2 linked regions of the Drosophila melanogaster genome follow. Changing the gene in region 2 together with the main gene of any one other region gives a genetic interaction. Each region holds a gene or a part of one and is shown on either strand. Other genes may lie near its edges.

Region 1 (7,887 bases), on a different chromosome or scaffold from region 2:
GTATATGGCTCGTACTAACGTTAAACTCAAGAATTAGTGCCTGCGAGATAAGATGCTAAGATCAGGTGAATGGGGTGTGAGATTTCGCAAGATCAGGGTTATCTGCTTCTGCAGAAATGGATTTACAAATTCTGATTAAGAGACGGATTCCGTGCAAGGGTCAATAAACGTTTTATGACGTTTACTTTAGAAAAGCTACGCCAAATAATATACAAATTTCGAGATAATATCTTCCTATTTGCACTTTTTCCAGAGAATGGAACCCCTAACAACTTGAAATTACTTATATTCCTATAAAATCCATTCAAAATATTTCTACACAAATCCCATTTATGAGCTGAATTCAATAAATTATTCGGTATAACTTTTATGCTTAAGGAAATTTCCTCGAAAAAATTATGAAACTTTTCCCATGGGCCTTAGCTCACCTAACATAAAGACACTTGATTTATTCGGAAAATCAGCGAATATATTTTAAAATGCTGAGCAAAAGAAGATTTCCTAATCTTGTGACTGCAAGCCAATTGACCTTTTGATAGGGGAAATTAATTTGGGGTGCAATGTTTGCAACATTTATTAATTCGTTGGGCGACCTAAGGCATAAATTGTGTGCTTAATTAATTCAGAACAGCGCGAGGCGATTTGTTTAAAAATATGTGTTCACGAATTTATAGATAGCTTACTTTTTCATAAAAAGAAAGCGTCTCATATTAATATCATCGTCATCGGTGTATTTTCGAATTTCCAAACAGTCAAAGAGAATTTGCTGTAGGCGTTGTCATTAATAATATTTTTCATACGCCAGGATATGTAATTAACTGAATAAGTGCATTCACTTGAATTAATGATGGGGGTGTTACGAAAACGAAAATTCATTGGCCATTTTCGGTTGACGAAATAAGGATTGTCGCTCCCATGCGTTTCTGGCTAATAAAACCCAAATGGCAATAATCGTCAAAAATAATGCCGGCTAAATGCAATCATAACATAAATACAGCGACACGCTTTGTTTTCCTTACGAGTATTTTCACTGGGATCTGGTTGGTTTTCCCAAACTCACATAAGGACGATACAGATTTATGGTCTTGGATTTGTTTTTATGGAGCAAGTACTTCCGTTGTCCTTGTGCTAGTTCCTCACTTAAGTTGCCACTGCTGTAATTGGCTAGGCAAACATATAAACATTTATGCGTATGGAGAAGTTGGGGAATAGATTTCGAAAGTCCTTGACTGAGTTGGCGAAGAGTTATTGAAGCGCGACATGAAGAAAAGCAATTTAAATGGGGTCACCTGAATGCAAATAGCTGGCAGATTTTGAAAGAAGCGGAAAACTCGAATATTATCTTTCTTGAATTATTAAGCATAAGTAAATCATACATTTTTGGAATTTTTTATATATTTACCATTTGTCAGTGAAGAATCTAATAATTTATCACGCTTTCTGAACTTTGAAATGTTCAAGAAAATTCAAAATATTTTACACGCCTTTTTTAATTTATATATATGTGGGATATATGGGATATATACCATTAAATCAGACATTTTAGCATTTTATTCTTATTTATATTTATCATATTTATTTTAACATTATGACGAGTTAGATCTTCCACCTCTATTTAAATGTTTAAAGACGCATTAATCTACGAATCTAACGAACTTAATGACTGCATTAGCAAGATCTCAAAGTATCTAAAAAACCCACACTTTCCAACTTCCACTTCCACTCCAAATATCAAGATTTAGCCCGCCATGTGAGGTGTAATTTGCTAATTGTACTAATTAAATCGGCTCGCCTAATTATAGTACTCAAAGCTTAATCATCAAACGAATTTATCTCCACATTTTGTTTCTATTTTGGAAAGCAAGCATTTATGATTTGTTGCTGGCTGCTGGCTTCCACTTTTTACACTACCCACGATTACTCACCGAGCTAAATTTTGAGATCCAAATTTGCCGGCCGTCGTCGTTGCCTTTTGGTTTGGTTTTTGTTTTGGTTTTTGGTTTTTTTAGCCTTTTGGTTTTTGTTTTTCTTTTTTTCCTACTTAACGATCCCACAGCCGATCTATATTTATTGTTGTTGTTCAGGTTGCGATTGTCTGGTTGGTTGGTGAGTTCTGATTCTGATTTTTTGCTGGAGCAAAATTTGAACGCTTGCGAAATTGTTAAAAATAAATATGTTACTTTAAGAGCGCACGATTTTCCGCGACTAGCCGTCGATTTCGATTTTTCCTTCGCTTCTGGCCGGCAATAATAACAGAAAAAAAGGCGAAAAAACCGCTGAAGCCGACACAGAAACAGAAATAAACTCAACACTCAGCGTTTCTCGGCGGGAGGGGGTATAGGTATAGGTATTATGGGTGTTATAGGTATACGGGGGCCATAGGTATTATTTTTTGCGGATCGACTGGACACAGCGATCGCGATTTGCTTTATTTGTGTCACTTTTTTCGTGGGTTTTTCTTCGGTTTCTTTTAGTTGTTGTTGTGTGTCTAAAGGTGCCGCTTTGTTTTGTTTATATACGCTGGGATCGTGAGATCCGAGAGATCTAGAATTTCCGGTTTTTACAGCGCAACTTGCAGTTTTTCTTCGGTTTTTTGTTAGTTTCCTCCGCTGAACCAGCAGATTGCCAAATTAGTCCAACTGAGCGCAATTAATCAAACGTGATGATTGCAAACTTTGAATAGGTTTTGTTTTTTTTTTTGTTGACTAGTCTGAAGACCAATGTCAAATTTTCCAATTTTCTTTCGAATGATTTCTGAGTGTTCTGTGGTGTTTTTCTTGGGTTGACCAGCCGCTTCCACGTTTTGCACGAAACTGAAACGTAAAATCTGCGAATCGCTTGCCACAGCTCTCGACGTCGACGTCAGCGTCGCAGTTGGCAGCACAGTCGTGGTGGTTCGGAAAAGGGGGCGGCCTGGTCGGGAGGGGCGGGGCAGTGGGCAATGATGACGATGGTAATAATGATGCTTCTGCTGGCAGCCAAGGGGAGAGGGAGAGATGGCTTCGGGATGCTCGCTTGATAGTCGGATGTGTTTGTGTTTGCTCTCCATGTGTGCAGATATTTGGTTTTGGCCAAGTGTCCCGAGTGCCGTTCCATTTGAGGGCCTAAACGCTTTGGCGGCAACAGGATCATCGCCATCAGGATGGCGGAGGCGGTCCGGAATCACCGATGGCGATAAGGCGGCCAGCATGGTGTGCGCCCTAATTGACAACACCATCACGGAACTGAAAGTCTTTGCAGCGACCAAAATCTACATACATACATATATATATAATAATTAATCTAGAAGATACATACATTGACAAAAAAGTAGATATTTTGTCGCTGCGAAGACAATAATTTACATATTTTAACTGTTCTTATCATATTTTTTTTGTGTAATAACAACTTTCATTACTATCATAAATAAGAAAATGCAAAATTATATTTCTTATGAAATATCTTTTTATCTTTTAACAACGTTTAATAATAGATTTTATAGACGTTTTTATCTTACGATTTTACCTGATTATTAAATAAATATAATCCTAATGTTGGGTAGTTTTTGGATTGGTTTTTCTTTAACTGCTTTAACAGACACATTGCCTGCGAAAAGTCGGAAAATTGTAATAAATGTGGGATTTTCCCAAGTGTAGGAGTACCAGCAGACTTTTCGTCAGCAGTGAATTTTTAAATATTCCAAGAAACACTTATACCTATTTATGTTTGTGTTATTTCAACAAATATTAAGACTTTTGGTTATTATAGTAGAGATGGAAAATAATGCATACAGGATGTAATTCAGATATGAAATACATACATGATGTACATATTGTACATAAGTTAACCCTACGATTCAAGCCAGAAGTCGTTTTAAATCAAAAGGTTTATGTGTGTTTTTATGGTGGGGGTGTTTTTCCTCAGTGTCTTGTTTGTTTTCAGTAGACTTTGCGGCAGCGCCGATTCGTTGCTGAGAAAATCTAGAAAATATGTTTTGTGTATTTACGAGCCCTCTGTTTCGGTTTTAAGCAAACAGCGAGCGCGCCTCTTTAACGGTTTTCGGGTGTTGCGTTCGCATGTTTATGCACGTTGATTTCGCTGGCCGTTGTAATAAAGGCCAACAAGGTCAGGTGCAAACGAAATGCGAGTACGAGTGACGCCTGCGTGCCACAGTCTCATTTCAGGTGCCGCATACAATTGCCGTGTGCATTTCAATTTGATGTTATAATTAAGCGAAGGCAGGCACGAGATGTCAGCAAGCTTTGCGTTTACGTTTTCTGTGCGCGACTTTTTTTTCCCTATTTCACTATTTCGTTTTGAGGCTGCTTCAGTCCTGTTTGTCAAGTGCAAGGACACTGCATGCACTCACCTCTTTGAGTGGGCGTGGCAAGTCCTGCCCGCAGACCGGAAGCCGAGTCATGGTCGCCGCAGACTGTAAGGCATAAAAATGTTAGTATCCTTGCCGCACTAAGTATAATTGTGGGAAACAACTCACTTAGCTTCCAGCTGGAATACAAACCGCAGCCGAAATTTGCGAAGACACTTGCGCTGACTCTGCAAGCCACTAAAATACGTTCCAAAAATATATGCCACAAATCCATTTAAGGAAAATTTTGTTTATTCCCAATTTTTTGAATTTTCCCCCCTCGAAATATCGATGTATATGTATTGTCAGTTAAATGTTTTGAGTTGTCTGTACCAGATGGCGCCAGTGTTCTGAAATTCAATTTACTTTTATTAATGTATAGCATTAATTGTAATACTCTCTGCAAAGCCAACAAGATTTTATTTTTCATAAATTTTTTTGTTTTATAAATCATAACGTATTTTATTTATAATATTTAAAAACGGTTTTAAATTTCCCATTAGGATTTTTTGAAATGTCAGGACAGTGCCTAAAAGTATGCAACCTCATATGCAGTTTGGTATGATTTCCGAGCCGGTTGGTATATTTGAACGATGACGCCTGGTCACACTGCTACAAATGTCTTTCGCATAGTTTAGTTTATTATTACGCGCAAACAACAAATAGCTGACCCTTCAAAAACGAATTAAACAGCGAACATGCAGTTCTCTTGGATGAAGGTGGCCATATACCTTCTTACGTTCCTAACCTACGCCTATTCAGGCTATGGATCCAGCACCATAGTCCACGTAAGGTGCACCGCTTCTCGTAGGAAATCTGTGAGAGCTAGTATCTGTTACTCCTGTATCTTCTCTCCCCGGATTTAGCTAAGGGATGCCATTATAGCCGCGGAGGCGATCTTTGGTGACGTGTTCAAGAACCTGATAGTGCTGGTGCGCAAATTTCGCACGGTCCACGAGGTTTTCGATGCGGCCGTGGACGAGAACTGCATATACCAGTGCCCCGCACCGGATATCGGAGGACCAGGTGTGGTGACGCACTGCGCATTATGTAAATTCCCCAGCATCCATATGTGTGTTTATCTTACAGCGCCCAGAGCGGTTCAGAATAAGTTCTATACCCCCACCGCAGATGGATGTGGTTCCTTGGGCCTGAGGATCAGCACAGACTATCTGCCGGCCAAGGAGATGGAGACATGTTGCAATGACCACGATATCTGCTACGACACCTGCAATAGCGATAAGGAGCTGTGCGACCTGGACTTCAAGAGGTGCTTGTACAAGTACTGCGACAGCTACGAGAAGTCCATAGCCAGCGATCTGATGATGAAGGGCTGCAAGGCGGCTGCCAAGATGCTATTCACCGGCACATTGACCCTGGGATGCCGCTCCTATCTGGACTCCCAGCAGAGATCCTGCTATTGCGCCCCGCCGAAGAGCTCCTCCTACAATGGCAATAGGCAGGGTAATAGCAATAGTAGGGAGAAGCAGCAGCGCCAGAAATATGGCTGGAAGGATCGCAACGAGATATAGTACAGGATCACTGGCTACGAGGGTGCGGGGACCTGGGGGTATCGGATTAAGCGTTAAATGTTTTATGTGTTGTGTTAGTCTATGAATTGGGTAGCCATGTCCATTGGACTCCCTTTTTGACGAATTTCATTATTGTATACCAAATAGTGGCATGCCAACGGTCCAGACTGTTAAATACATTGATATTTTTACCTATTATAAAGATGCTATATTTTTAAATCAACTGTGCGCTGATTAATCACCGGTGGCTTATGCTGACGTGGTCCTTTGGGCAGGATATGTATATTATTTATTAATCATATGATCGACAAGTGTGTAAACATATTTTAACCAGGACGATGACGTATTTAATTTGTTAAGCTGCCTGGCCAAAGCTAATTTAATAGTACAAATAAATGAATGGAGATCAAACAAGAATTCTATTATATCAAAAATTTTGACTTTAAGTCAAACTTAAGTTTAAAACTAAGGTGGAACAGAAAATATCTCAATATTTTCAAGCTAAACAGTTATTTTAAGAAGCCATTTCTCGCGGATTACAGCTGAAGTGCCATCCTAGCTTTCCAACACTACTCAGTCACACTACACAACACTGCACTGACTGAACCGAAAAAAAAACACACAGATTTTGCAATCCGCAGAAAAGAATTATTAATAGTATTTTTATGCGGATGGCCAGCGTGCTGAGGACCTAAGATGGGCTACGATGTGAATCGCTTTCAGGGGGAGGTGGACGAGGAGCTCACCTGTCCCATCTGCTCCGGAGTGCTTGAGGATCCGCTGCAGGTTTGTTTTGTTTGCAAAGAACGCACACCGCGAATCATACATATGCTTTAAATACAAACAATCATACATATCTACCGATTCAGGCCGTGATGTGCGAGCACGCCTTCTGCCGCGGATGCATTAACGAGTGGCTAACCCGCCAGCCCACTTGTCCGGTGGATCGAAATTCCCTGACTACTGCCAACTTGCGGGCAGTGCCTCGCATATTGCGCAACCTACTGTCCAGGTGAGAAAAACCCAACGCCTTCTACTCTGTGAACCTTGTGGACTCTAACTAATCTTTGACCCTTGCCAACCAGACTGTCAATCACCTGTGACAATGCGCCTTATGGCTGCACGGCTGTTCTCAAGCTAGACGCCTACAATTCCCATTTGGACGAATGCATTCACAATCCGAAGCGACCATTTCCCTGCGAGAAGGGATGCGGCTTTGACATACCCAAGGATGAGCTAAAGGACCACAACTGCGTGCGGGAGCTGCGCACTTTAATTGTCAAGCAGACGGAAAAAATGGGTGAGCTCAAATCGGAGCTCACCGACCAGCAGCTGACTATCAACGAACTGAAGCGCGAGCTGCAGCTATTCAAGGACTTTATGCGTGCCATGCGCGTCTCCAATCCTGCGATGCGGGCCATAGCCGACCAGATGGAGCGCGACGAGGTGATCCGCTGGAGCAGCACACTGCCCCGGGCCAGGGTTACGCGCTGGGGGGGAATGATCTCTACGCCCGACGATGCACTGCAGGTGAAGCCCAAATTCTAAATTTTTTTAAAACGTTAACTCACTTTTCATTTGATAGCTCATGATCAAGCGCGCTTTGTCCGAGTCGGGCTGTCCGCCACACATCCTGGATAGTCTTATGGAGTTCTGCCACGAGCGACGTTGGCCCCGTGGGCTCAGTTCGCTAGAGACACGTCAAACCAATCGTAGGATCTACGACAACTATGTGTGTCGACGCATTCCAGGTAACAATTTTAAACATAAATATTAACAACAAGGCTTTATCTTTAAACTTACTCTTCCGCAGGCAAGCAAGCTGTGCTCGTTTTGAGCTGCGACAACCTCCACATGACTGAGGACGTCATGATCGATCCAGGTTTGGTCATGATCTTCGCCCATGGCATCGAGTAGGCCCTCAGCCGCTGATTAACCACTTATCCTAGGTTAAATGCTAACTATATCGAACAGTGCTCAGTTTTGTTGATTCCTTAACGTAAGAGTAAG
Region 2 (7,644 bases):
AACTGCGACGCGTGGATAGGTTGCCCACCGAATGCTGCTGCTGCTGCTGATGGAATAGATCTGCATTGGGCGCATCGCCATGCACCTCGGTGAACAGATTGGTAGTGCCGTGAAAACTACCATCCGGATTTGGATTCGGATCGGATAGCGTGTGCTCCTCGCGCGAGTGTCGCGATGGCGAGGATGGTGGTCGAGTTACGGTCACCGAGACACCCGATGATCCCGTTCCCGAAACAGCGGACTGCATCAGATTCATCTGGCTGATCACCATGGGCGGCCCATTGGGCGCCTGGCGTGAGGATTGCGAGGTCTGCGAGTTAATCGGTCCACTCATTGTGGATACGCTCTTGTAGCGCATGTGATTCTGCACCAGTTCGGCATTTAGACCGAGGTAGTTGCGCAAAGCGGTGAACAGTACGCGTTGTAGCCGGATCATAATCACCTGGATGACGCGAATCATTACGTCCGGATTGTCCTGGAACACCTCTTCGAATGCCTGCCAAAGCAAGGAGGAAAAAAATAAGAAGTAAGTGAGTGTTCAATGAACATTTAGTTTAGTTAGATAAACTACCTGCATGGGCAGACGAATGACCACCGATTTCTCAATGGCTTTGGCGGTGACCGTCTTATAGTAGCTGGGATTCCCCGACAGGACATCAATAAAGCTGAGCAGCGATGTCACCGACTCGCCCTTCCTGACCGTCTTCAATGATAGTGTGCTGCCATCGGCATTGGAGATGTACACATTGATCATGCCCGATTGAACGATATAGACGCTATCGTCCGGATCGGTTATCTTAAACAAATAGTCGCCGGCCATCAGTTCCAGCAATTGGGTGTGCTTGCAGAGCCGCAAAAAGACCGGCTTCTCGAAATGTCCAAAAATGCGAATGCTCTGGAGCATATAGAGTGCATCGGGCGGAACTCTATCGCTGCCCTCGATTGTCTCCTCCAGATACTCGGCTGGCGGCTCCACGGTGCGCATCTCTAGCGGCATATTATCCCGCCTCAGCTGGAGTATCCTTCTCGCGAAACGCATGACAGCACGACGCTTGTAGCCCTTACCGCTGCTGTACATTTGACCGCTCACGTTCTTCATTTTGCGCAGCATTCGACGGCCGTAGAATAGCATCTTGTCACGCTTCCGGAAACGCAGGCCACGCATATCGCCGGATGAATTGGTTACGGTGCTAATGGAACGGGCAATCTCGTCGCGCAAACGCAAACGTGCCATTCGTTTGAAGTATAAGAACCAGGCTATGAAGAGCAGGCTCATCATTACCAGGGCGAAATACATGTACACCTGCAAAGGAATTTGTATAAGATAGCGCGCAATTAGTTGATTCCTCAGTTCAAAGGCCTTCATTATAATGGCTGTGGAGTTTGGTAGAACTCTTTGCTGCAACCACGTGAAAACTGTCTGATTTCCTCGGAAGTTGAAATCGATGTCATATCGAGCTGGTTCCAAACTTAACATTCTTAATAGAGCTATTAAAGGCTAATATAAAGAAAATCTATATATATATATAAGAAAATGTTTTTTTTTTTTTTTTTTGTTATTCTTGATCTAAAATTGAACTAAAAGTGTTTGAAGTGTTTGAAAGTGTTTTTGAAGTAAAATGAAAGGGTAATCTAACTATGATATAATATGCTTTTGATTCTATATGGTTTTTCACTTTTGCTGAAATGCAAAACAAAAAAATGTGAATTCTTGTACTAATGTGCCAACTCCTTTGCTAAATCACGTTTCTTAATTATTAATTAATTGGTTAATTAGTTTCCCATTCTTCTTCAGCTTATGACATTGAAACGAAAGGATATAAGGGTTTTTGATGTCGTCTCCAATATGATTTTCATTTCGTATTTTCCACGTCGCCCAGTTATTTAGGATGAATTATTTAGCACGAAGACACTTGGAATTTCCCAAAAGCAAGTGTCACGCCCGTGTAATCAAGTGCATCAGCTGTGTTTTGTTGTTATTTTCCCTAAATCTTGTTGTTGCACTCGGCACTTTGACATTGAAACGGCGACGCAACGTCGCTGCACATACATATGTATGTATGTATGTATGTATGTTTGTTTTATTGTTTGTTGCTAGCGGTTCTGAGTGAGTTGTTCTTGTTCGATGCGGTTGTTGTTGTTGCATTTGCTGTTTTTGTTGTGGCAGTAGTTTCTCGGGCAATTTGTTGTTGCTGCTACCCATTTGTTATTGTCTGCAGTTTCCGCATTTGATACTACACAGCGCGAAAAATGTAGCGTTTTCTCGCACTTCATTAAACGTTAATTATAGTGGCGTAGTTTCGATTTCTTTCGATAGAAATAAACATTTTTTTTTAATCTATAAGTTGCACATTTTCTTTCTCACTGTGCACCTTACTGTTTGTCTTTTATTACCCCCAGCAATTATTGTTTGTTTACAGTTTATTTTTACAACAGGTTTGCAAAATGTACAAGAAAAAATGCCATAAATACCAATTGACTCAGTCGGTCTAATTGGAAGCCGAAGCTGCGCCACACACGCACTTATCCAATTGGATTTGCTTTGATCTAATCGGACAGCACACACATACACACACTCGCATAACAACACGATAATGATAAAATTCGCGCAGTCACAAGGCGGCTAAATTGATTTGGCCCCAAGGGGTTAATTGAATTATTGAAAACTGATTTCGTACGCACCCCCCGCCCACGATTGCACGTGCTTCTGATTAGCAATCGGTTATCATAGTTATCAGCTCGGGTGGTTTAGTTTTTCTTTTTTTTTTTTTGCTTGCTTCGGGGTCGCCTGGGTGTCATTATCAATACTATGGTCGTGTGGTGTTATCATGTGGCTACTGTAGTCAGTGGTTTTTGTTTTTCATTCGTTTTGTTTTATGTAAGGCCACAAAACAATTTCGATTTGTGGCGACAAATGAAAACACGGAAGTTTCCCCTTTTCTCTTCCGGTTTTTCTCTTTTCTTATCATTTGGCTGGGTTCTAAGAGAGATTAGAGTCCTGAAATCCACACTTGCCTTAGCCTGTATCGTTCTAAACTTTAGCTGGGGTCTAAACTTCAATCCGCTGATAGGGTTTACTAGAACTAAGTTATGGTAAACTAGTCAGGAACAGCGACTATTTCGATTCTTCTACCTATAAATCTAAGTACTTAACCTATGATGTCTGGCCGACATTTATTCGTCAAGCTAACATTTTGTAAAAATTTTTTTTTAGAAAAATTTCCATAAAGATAATGGGATTACACATTAAAAAATCGCATACAAAATACAGTGGAATTTTCTAACAGGTGTTTGCTCTCAATACTCAAGTGGGTTTTCTTGAATAATGTCTGTTTACTTTACTTTAACTACTTAGGTCTGCTTTATCGCTCATTCTGTGATTTTTATCAGGGGACCTAATCTTTATGGATGTTGTCACAAAAAAAAGCTATATTCATAATAAAATTCTTGAATTATATAAAAGAATTGTGACGTGAGTACGTAAATACTTATTAATCTTATATTATATGTAGCCTGGACATGAACCTAAAACAGCTGTTATCCTGCTCAAGTAAGATCCACATGCTCTCTTTTCGCTCACGTTCTCTCTCCCGCGCGTTAAGCACGGACACAAGCCCGAACAGCTGTAATCCTGCATCGCATTTTTTTTTAAGCTTTCCAGCTGCCCTTCTAATCCTCGCGTCCTCTCGCTCTCGCACATATTGTCTTCCAACTGACTCACTCATATTGCAAACAAACAGCAAGCCAAAGTCAAAGCAAATAAAAAGACAAAGAAAGGGTGAAGTGCACTTACCGTTGCTGTGATCTGCTTGGAGACATATTGGCACCACGCGTCCGAGAATATTGTGTTGTAGCTGCCGCTGGCGCTGGCGCGCAGCATTTCCAGGACATCCATTGCGCTCCCTTACGCGGCCAGTTTTCCAATGACTCTGCTACGCTGTCCTTTCTCCCACGAAACTATTCGATTTGCTGTTTAGTTGACTCTTAATGTTGTTGTTGTTCTGCCTATTTTGGCTTATGTATGTTCCGTTTATTTGGTAAATACGCAAGTGTATGGATGGGACGGGGTACAGGGTGGAGGGGGCAAAGTAAAATCACAGCCCTTTGTTGTTGCCACCGTCGCGTTCTCTCTCTCCCTCGCTCACCTACTCCGTCCCTAGCTTGTTTGAATATGTCGCGCTCTATCGCACTCACATTTACAGACACCCCCGCCCCACGTTTGTCATGCCTTTTGTGCAATAATTGTTATAATGCACGCACCGTACCGCACAAACGCACTCACAGCCACGCACAGCGGAGAGCACAGTTTCTTTTGATTTAGATTATAAATCTTGTTGTTTTTGCTGTTACGAGAATCATCAGAACCAAAGCAATTGTTGTTTTTTTTTGTGGTTTCTTGCGGAAATCTTTCGTTTTGGTTATATATTGTTGTTGTTGCTCTCTCTCTGTTTTATTCTATCTCTCTCTCTGTCTTGAAGGCGGAGGCGGGGGGTGGTTTGCCGTTGGATGGGGGGGCGTGGCAACGTGTAACGAAAATGTTCTTAATTTACTGAGCCGAAATAAACGCGCATTTTGCTATGTAACTACAAACTAATAAACTGAAATGCACTCTAGAATTATTGTTATTGGTATCGATTCGCTTTGATGGTGGATTGAAAAACATCGATATGCCCGGAAATCGATTGTTTCACAGCTGTGTAGAGCAGCCCGCTAGAGTGACCATACAAAGTCGACTTTAGAACGGTTATTTCAAAATAATGTTAACCTTTCGAAAAATTTAGGTGTATGCAAGCCGAATTATTTGATTTGGAAAATAATACTTAGGGCGTCCATATCAGAAAAAACGTTTAGCCAATTTTAAAATTTGTGTTAGGCACGTTATGTAGTCAAATATATATAAATAAATTATTCTTATTATTTATAAATATTATAATAATATTTAATAATAATAATATAATATATATTCTTATTCTTATAAATTATTATTATTTTAATTTTTACAAAAGTGATATGCTGATATGCTTATAAATGTAAGATTCTTGTTTATTTGACTTTTTTTTTAAATTTCATTATCATTATTTCTTGCTTGACAACCCTATGTTAAGTGCGACACTGCGTTGACAACAGCTAAGAACATGGCTGTGGGGCGACAAACTTAGCAGAGCGCGCGCTGCTAGAGCTTAAATTGTATTTGAAAACAGTGCAGGTGAATCGAAAATGTCTTGGCATGCAGTCAAACATTAATTTGCGAGCATAATTAACTCCGCTTAAGATTGCTGGTAGTCAAGGAGCCGTGAAGAGCGGAGACGGCCGCTGGTAATATTCAGTGATTAACAACTGTAAAATCTAAAATCAGTATTAATATTCATGTGTGTTGATTTAAAGGATTTTGGTGAAATCCGGACCCGAATCGGAGCTGAGGTCCGAAACTAACGTGCAACATCCAATAAAAGCAAGTGCAGCTTGGGTTATTAGAGCATAAAGCATCTCCACCAGAGTCTCGGTTGCCAGCCAAGCAAAACGGCCGAGACGCGTCTTTCGGGTGGCCAGCTGCAGTCTCGGATGCAGTTTTTGGCTGCAGCTGCAATTAAATATGCAATGCACTTAAGTTATGCACATTTCCTTTGCCCAGGGACCGTTACGATTTCGTATTTTAAAAGCCGCGCGAAAGCTAACAGCGCTGTTGGCTAGCAGACGTCTGTTTCTGCTGTTGTTAGCCAACAGCCAACAACAACAAACTGGCTGTTGTTTCGAATGCACTGCGATCTTAGCTCTTTTCCCGCTAAATGTTTCTTTGTGTGTCATTTTGTCAACCATTCGATCGATATCGATATTCCTTTGTGAAGGCTAAAAATAAAATTCTTACATGCTCATCTTATACAATAATGGATCGCACATATAGCTACTCCTTTTTCATGTATCCAATTCACTAGGTAAGCTACAAAGATAGCCAGACGGCTGTGCTAACAGAGCGCTGCTATGGTGAGAAGCCGCCGCAATGGCAACAGTGCCATCTCTGGCCGGCGATACAAATAGCGCAACTTCGCTCGCAACGGGTTTCATTCCCACTGGAGTGCAGTTCGTGAGCGGTCGTTCTCTCCTCTCTCTCGCAAAAGTAAAACTTAAAGTTTTGTGCGCGCATGCGTCTCGTCTTAGAAAAACCTGCAATCAGTAATCTCGAATCGTGAAAATCCTTTTCTGCCATACCAAAAAAAGAGCCGGACAAAGCAAAGCGTTCGATTGCCTTCTGCCAATTTGAGCAGGAAATTACAAATTAATTGCCGCCCTGACCGTGATTTGTTTACGTTTTTTTCTTCACTTTTTTTTACATTGTGTGAGTGTGAGAAATTTGTTGGCCAAAAAATATTCCAGATATTCCCAGAGATATATATATTCGAAATTCGAATTGGCGAAGTGAAGGGTGTGACGACAGACGCACACACACGCACGCACACGAAAACGCACTGAAAAAACACCGGCTAAAAGGCAGACAAAAAGGAGACGAGAGAGCGAGTGCTAAATAGAAAACGCGAAAACAGGATAATAATCAGCAAACTAATACTATAAAACAAGCAACTAAGTGACATCTCGATCTCGCCGAGAAACAACAAAAACAACAGTTACAACTTCGGCAACAGCAACAAAAACAGCGCCAGCAGCAGCAACAACAACAAAATCAGCGAAGAGCATAGAGCCAAAAAGAAGGAGCAGCAAAAGCAAAGAAAGTAAGTGGAATTCCTTGCCCAAAGATGGCTCTCCTCTCCTTTGCCTTTGCTCTCTCATCCAGACTAGAGATGGCCCGTGCTCCATTTTGTGCCACGACCAATTTGTTATTTTCCAAAAAATCTAACAAATATTATAAAAATTTCCTGTAGCTTGTTGCCTCGAAATGGGAATACAGCTTCAAGCAAATATACATACTTGCACTTAAACATTGAATCTGGGACTTCTTGCGTTGCAAATAGGAAACCTAATTAGTTTCATACTTCGACTTATAAATAGTTTTTAATTGGGGAAAATAGATAATCGTGTCACGCGACCATCTCTACTTCCAGACGTCTTGTGCAAATTAGACAGAGCCGGCTGCTGCTGCTCCATTTCCAGGTGTAATGCCAATGCCAATGGCCACGGTCTTTACTCTGGGCCTCTTGCAAGTCATAAAATCTATGGCAGTTGTCAGTTCGCTTCGCTGCCTGTTTTTTCCTCTGTCTCTTCACTTTTTTGCTTTAGCATTTTTCACTTTAGCATTTCATTTTGAGCTCTCCTTCGGCTGCTCCACCTCACTTTGTGGCATTGTTTTCCAGTTCGGCCGCTGATTTTTCCAACCGGCTTTCGGCTGGCTAATTGCCTTGACATTGGCATTTCTCTTCCTCTCCTTGTCTGTCCTTCACGCCCCGCTCTGCTCCACTCTCCTCTCTGTGGCTTTTTGTACTCCTCTCTTTTCTGACTCGTTTCAATCATTCAAGTTCAACTATAAACAGACATAAACACGCAGTAAAGGTGCCGCCGCCCCCTTTTCGTGGCCCCGCCCCCTTTCTAACCGTTATTCCTCTCTCTCGCTCTCACTTATCGCTCCCTCTTCATGTTTAGCTTTGCCGTGTTTACATTTTCTCCGGCTCCGTTCCTTCCGCCGCACGGACTTTA

The links.
Region 1: of sws (region 2) and Pka-C3, changing one enhances a phenotype caused by changing the other (phenotypic enhancement), as found in Drosophila melanogaster (one study listed by BioGRID).

What each region holds. Positions count from the first base shown.
Region 1 is NT_037436.4:15,950,177-15,958,063, forward strand, and holds the start of Pka-C3 (protein kinase, cAMP-dependent, catalytic subunit 3), read right to left. Parts: upstream 4,622-7,887; 5' UTR 4,581-4,621; coding exon 4,475-4,580; intron 4,412-4,474; coding exon 4,349-4,411; intron 2,818-4,348; exon of another isoform or gene 1,926-2,817; intron 1-1,925. Other genes in the region: GXIVsPLA2, read left to right, coding at 5,044-5,133, 5,212-5,371, 5,435-5,877; elgi (early girl), read left to right, coding at 6,574-6,663, 6,747-6,889, 6,963-7,407, 7,463-7,628, 7,691-7,794. UniProt on the Drosophila melanogaster protein: Does not have an essential role in development.
Region 2 is NC_004354.4:7,963,647-7,971,290, forward strand, and holds the start of sws (swiss cheese), read right to left. Parts: upstream 4,591-7,644; 5' UTR 3,896-4,590; coding exon 3,794-3,895; intron 1,304-3,793; coding exon 572-1,303; intron 527-571; exon of another isoform or gene 497-526; coding exon 1-496. UniProt on the Drosophila melanogaster protein: Phospholipase B that deacylates intracellular phosphatidylcholine (PtdCho), generating glycerophosphocholine (GroPtdCho). This deacylation occurs at both sn-2 and sn-1 positions of PtdCho.